Linked DNA regions of Saccharomyces cerevisiae S288C. The protein of the gene in region 1 interacts with the protein of each later gene in a pairwise test. Each region holds a gene or a part of one and is shown in the gene's direction. Other genes may lie near its edges.

The links.
Region 2: the proteins of TRM112 (region 1) and MTQ2 interact in binary tests that used the Saccharomyces cerevisiae proteins (3 or more experiments, as listed by UniProt).

Annotation. Positions count from the first base shown.
Region 1 is NC_001146.8:705,578-708,695, forward strand, and holds TRM112 (RNA methylation protein TRM112), read left to right. Parts: upstream 1-2,210; coding exon 2,211-2,618; downstream 2,619-3,118. Other genes in the region: AGA1 (Aga1p), read left to right, coding at 1-299; PET494 (Pet494p), read left to right, coding at 562-2,031; serine/threonine protein kinase FPK1, read left to right, coding at 2,946-3,118. UniProt on the Saccharomyces cerevisiae protein: Acts as an activator of both rRNA/tRNA and protein methyltransferases. Together with methyltransferase MTQ2, required for the methylation of eRF1 on 'Gln-182'.
Region 2 is NC_001136.10:732,266-735,450, forward strand, and holds MTQ2 (S-adenosylmethionine-dependent methyltransferase), read left to right. Parts: upstream 1-1,872; coding exon 1,873-2,538; downstream 2,539-3,185. Other genes in the region: HPR1 (Hpr1p), read left to right, coding at 1-571; NEDD8 family protein RUB1, read right to left, coding at 1,353-1,437, 1,511-1,659; DOP1 (Dop1p), read right to left, coding at 2,636-3,185.

The DNA of each region.
Region 1 (3,118 bases):
CATCACTTTCCGCAACATCTATCTCTACACCATCTACCTCTGTGGAATCGACTATTGAATCTTCATCATTGACTCCGACGGTATCTTCTATTTTCCTCTCATCATCATCTGCTCCCTCTTCTCTACAAACATCTGTTACCACTACAGAAGTTTCCACTACTTCAATCTCCATACAATACCAAACTTCATCAATGGTAACAATTAGCCAATATATGGGCAGTGGATCGCAAACGCGTTTGCCATTAGGAAAGTTGGTCTTCGCCATCATGGCAGTTGCTTGCAATGTAATTTTCAGTTAATATCAGAACAATTTAATTCATTTATATAAACATATACAATCAATCGAATAAAAATACAACAATGTAATGAAAACGCTCTCTATTGATATGTATTTGCTGACGCTTATAAATTTATTAAAGTTTTATTTTAAACCGTTCTAGTGACTTCACGCGGGGAGATACATCCAATAGTAAATTACAAAATAAGGAAAGTATAAAACAAACGGATAACAACAGTAGCTTGGAGACAGCAAAGGCACCCGAGCAGGCGTGGAAACACACGATGCATTTGAAAAAGGGGAAGAGGAGTATTAGCACAGTATGGCGACTTTTATGGAAGCGTTTTTATTCCGTAAACTCTAAGACGAATATGCATTTTTCTCGAAGTAGGAAGAAACCAGTGACAAACTTCACAAGGACAAACGGACTTCTCCTGAGCTGTAATGGTGATACATTCCCATATCTGCGTACACTGTGGAGATACTTCAATGCGCCTGGTAATTTGATGTTTGTCACAACTAATATTGTCGCATTTATGGGCATTGTTACGTATAATACGCTGGTTACTATCAGCAGTGAAAGAGCATTCGAAGAGCAGATGATGGCGGCACAGGTGAGCCTGGCGAAACAGAGAGAAGAGCTCGAGACTACGGCCCTCAGCTTGCCACGAGATATTGAATTGAGGGGTGAAGAAGATGATATTAAATGGGAGCAACCTGATGTAGCACATGTCCGGGAAGATCCCTTAGTCGAGGAGCAGAACGCAAAGTTAGACACCCCTATAAAACAGTATACTTTAGGAGATTTGATTTTGAATAAGAGGGAAAATGTCACTGATTATGACTCGCAGCGTGCGAAGGCATCTATATTCCACATGCTATATGCTTATATGCTGTATCGAGATGTTATTCAACCCACGACCATGACTCAAAATAACAACAGCGAGGAATGGCGGCGTGAAGTCGAGCTTTTGACTAAGGGAAAAGAGGTACAAGGTACTCATCGAAGGATAGACGTGTTCTACGACCTGTGGAATAAAAATTTCGATAAGATAGTGACATCACCTGAGAAAGTGCAGAATTTTCAACTGCCGAACTGGTCTAAATACCCAACGATATTGAAATTCATCTGCACAGAACTTCACGACAACAGTTTGAAGACCTTGGGTGAGTTTAAGCAATTCTATGGAAAGGTGCGATCTAACGAGGTAAAAAAACTGTTGGGTCTTTGGCTGTACGACCATTCCTTCCTTTTCCCCCATAATATCTACGACAACAGAACCGAAGAAGATTTTTACGATATATTAATTAATGACTCCATGCAGGATAACAGGATATTCCAGAAATACTCTTCAATTGTAATGAATCCCTACAACGAACGTACTCAACTTTTTTTCCCTAATGTAAATTCTCCATCTGTCAACAAGCCAGTACCGAGCATATCTCTGGAAACATACACACGACTACTCAAGGGATATATCAACTTGCAAGAAACAGGCTGCAAATACGACTATAATGACAATATATTCAAACTAATCAGCATCCTCAAACTAAATTGTTTCCTACAACGCAACAAGAAGAAACACGCAGGGCCAACCGTCAGAATCCTACTGCCGAGAGATGAAGACCGCTCTCAAATACTTGGTACCATTTCGCAGGCAGAGAAGAGAACCTGTTATCAAATTCTAAGCAAAAATAGGGACGTGGTTGCGCTGCTGAAACGCATTTCTGATATCCAGGCGGACTCTTCTTAATAAAACATGTAAATATGTACCTCCCAAATCACACTCATCATCTCATACGAAACTGTATCTTTTTGGGTAAAATTTTCATCGATGAGCTTTAAAAGCAAAACTACTTCACCAGCAATGAAGCTACTGTAGCATCCTATGATCTCTTCGGCTCTACACATCATATTACTAGCCTAGTCAACATGAAGTTCTTAACCACCAACTTCCTAAAGTGCTCCGTTAAAGCCTGTGACACCAGCAACGACAACTTCCCCCTACAGTACGACGGCAGCAAATGCCAATTGGTACAGGATGAATCTATCGAGTTCAATCCAGAATTCCTTCTGAACATAGTCGACCGCGTAGACTGGCCTGCAGTGCTCACGGTTGCTGCCGAATTGGGAAACAACGCCTTACCTCCTACCAAACCATCCTTCCCATCTTCGATCCAGGAGCTCACCGATGACGACATGGCCATCCTTAATGACTTGCATACTTTACTGCTACAGACGTCCATTGCCGAAGGTGAAATGAAGTGTAGGAACTGCGGACATATCTATTACATCAAGAACGGCATTCCAAACTTGCTGTTACCTCCACACCTGGTATAAATCAAGCGAGATCTCTGTGTGTGGGCACGCAAGACGAAAAGACAACTATATACACAGCTATATATGTAGTAGTAGCCTCATATACGTATGGCATCAAACATGTAGCATAAACAACCTAAAAGGAAAACAAAGACTGAGATCTAACCCACCACAGTTTCTATTTGAGCCTTCCCGTCGCGCGTGATTTGGAGATACAGATTCTAAGAGCTTTAAAGAACGAGATACTCTCCTGTTTTAAGGACTCACCGGCATATAAGGCAGCAAAGTCGCCGGTTTGAAGGTTCAGGGGCCTTGAAGGTAGTATCATTTGGAAAACAGCAAGAGAATATGGCTGGACACCATCACGAACATGAACAAGAGCGCGACCACGAGCAAGAACACGAACACGATTCCCTTCAACGGCCTACTACTGGATCAGAAAGGACTAGAAGTATATCCTTTTCGAAGTTGCTTACGCGGTCATGGAAAAGGAATGCGAGTTCATCGAACAACATGAGTGT
Region 2 (3,185 bases), on another chromosome or scaffold:
TTCTTCTGAAACTTCCGGTGGAGAAGCGAAAGATGAAATAATCAGACAATGGCAAACTTTACGGTTTCTAAGATCGCGATACTTGTTCGATTTTGATAAAGTTAACGAAAAGACTGGTGTTGATGGTTTGTTCGAGGAACCCAGAAAAGTGGAAGCGTTGGATGATAGTTTCAAAGAGAAACTTTTGTACAAAATCAATCAAGAGCACAGGAAAAAACTTCAGGATGCTAGGGAGTACAAGATTGGAAAGGAAAGAAAGAAGAGGGCACTGGAAGAAGAGGCTTCGTTTCCTGAAAGAGAGCAAAAAATTAAGTCGCAACGTATAAACAGCGCTTCTCAAACAGAAGGAGATGAGTTGAAGAGCGAACAGACGCAACCAAAGGGAGAAATATCAGAAGAGAATACCAAAATAAAAAGCTCGGAAGTTTCTTCGCAAGATCCTGACAGTGGTGTTGCCGGGGAGTTTGCTCCACAGAATACAACAGCTCAACTAGAAAATCCAAAAACAGAAGATAACAATGCAGCTACTTCGAACATTTCTAATGGTTCATCTACCCAAGATATGAAATAAATTATCCTCTTAATAGAAATTTTAAACTGATAAGAAATTCATGCATAGTGTCCCAAACAATTCAGATAGATTTTAGCGTACCACAGAGATCCTATCAGAGAGTAATACTTATGATGAAAACAAAAGTCAATCCATTCGGTTTAAAAAAATGACAAACCTATATTTGATTAGATTAATCAGGCGTCAATAACGTCCTTAGAAGTCCCTTTGCTAAGACTGATATCGTTGGCAAAAGCATGCTCCGAGTTTAGTATATACTTCCACTTGATAAAGTTGTAGCGCAAAGGATGCTTTTCTTAATGAGAAATTCGGTATACTACAAGAGGACATCCAATCGTGCTTACAAAATTGCCCTGGAAGACATGATTGAGAAGAAATGGCGAAATATGTCTTTTGGTCAGATAGTCTGTAATCGCATATAACAGTATGCTTGGTTTGCTCTTTATCACCACGCTTTTCCTCTCTTTCCAGCGCGAACCATGCAATGGCCAGCTTTATGAAATTTAAACCATAAAGTCATATGAGACCAGCAATCAGACCATATATAGCCGTACTATGCTATAACGGATAATTTGATAGATACTAAACAGTTTTAGTTCACATTTCTCGTCTAAAAACAATTAATTTATTATAACAGACTCTATAGACTAAATTGTATGTATTTTTTTTTTTGACAAATTGGGGGCGGTAGCCTTCCAAAGTCCAAGTGAACTTATGTTCGTTTTGTCTTCTTTTCTAATGAACACCTTCGATAAAATTCCATAAATGACGGAAAATGGTTCTAGTTACCACCTCTTAGTGTTAATACCAAGTGGAGTTGCATTCCCTCTACTAGATGTGCATCCGTTACTGTTAATTTATCATCACTATCCTGGTCGTTAGTAAGGTCTCAAAAACGTAAATAAACTTAAAAGATAATTAACCACTGAATGAACATACATTTGTTTTCCCTGGAATATAAGTCTTTGTTGAGATGGTGGAATCCCTTCTTTTTCCTCCAAAAGTTCCTTGATGTGATATACGAGATCTGATTCCTTCAGCTCAACAGAGATCTCCTTCCCAGTCAGTGTCTTCACTTTAACAATCATCGGTTACGGCTGTAAGGAAGTTAATTACCTTCCTTTATTTATTCCTCTGTCGGAATACTTCATTTGAATAACAGAATTTTGGTTTTTCAGCTAAAAGTTGTTCGTTTGCCTTCCCGAAGACGCCATCGGAATTTGATTTCATATAAATATTGATATAATTATACTCTGAAATATAATATTGATAAACTTAACACAGGGTGAGAAAGGTGAAGTATGCTACCGACCCCTTATGTAAAATGCGATTACGATAAAGTATATGAGCCTGCTGAGGATAGCTTCCTCATACTGGACTGTTTGGAAAAAGAGCATGATTTTTTGAAACAGAAATTTGGTAATCGTTTGGCCATCGTTTGCGAAATTGGTTCGGGATCAGGTATCGTCACAACATTTCTAATGCAAAACAAAATAATACCGCAGGAAAATTCCATCCACTTAGCTGTTGATATCAACCCATGGGCGCTCGAAGCAACTTTGGATACTGCGAAGTTAAATTCATGTAAAAGTTCTTTTTTAGAAGTGATTCAAGCTGATTTAAACTCCAGTATTCGGAATAATCAGGTTGATGTCCTAATATTTAACCCACCATATGTGCCAGCAGAATGTGTGCCAGATGTCCCAGGATCAAGAGAGGAGGCAGACCAATGGCTAGATTTAGCGTTATTGGGTGGAAAAGACGGGATGGCGATTACTGATAAACTGCTACGACAATTAGAACAAATTCTTTCTCCAGATGGTGTTGCATATATATTATTTTGTGCAAGAAATAAGCCTAAAGAAGTCATTAAGAGGTTTGTCGATACTTACAAATGGAATGTGAAACTTATTGAAACGAGAAAAGCGGGATGGGAAGTCCTCAGTGTGTACAGCTTTACAAGGTGACAGTTGCAAAACCTTTCACGTTATAATTGATAACCTGTGTCTTTACTCAAAGCGTATAACTATATTTCGGTTTATAAAGAAAAATTCATAGCTATGCTCATGACAGAATATCTTTTTTGAGATCTTCACCACAACCATATAAATCAACTGACCCTAGTCCGTAAACTTTCTCATAATGTAGATAACTCAAATTCTGGAAGAAGCTTCTTAGTTGCGTGTGTCTCTCGATTTTGTGAATGCCTCGTAATAATGGGAGACCATCTTTTAAAGTTGTCGGTAATTCAAGATCATCAGTTTTGGTTATTTCGTAATCTTTGAATTCTGCGATTTCATCTACCAGCGCGACGAATGAGTTCGTTTTATATACGCAATTTATTGTATCAATAACAAAGATCCACTCATTCGTAGAGGTGAAGCCTTCCATGTTGAGTAAGAGTAGCAAATCCAAAGTTTTACATACTTGCAATATTGTTTGTGGATCGACTTCTGACTGTATTTGAAGTGATTCATAAAATTCTTGCAAATTAGTTTGTAAACAGTAACTGATCATAGACCAATAGTCATTGAAATGGGACTCTGAAAATCTTAAAAGTAAAACCCTTAGTAAGATCCAGCAGCTTCCCTTGAGCTTGATATCTTTGGACACC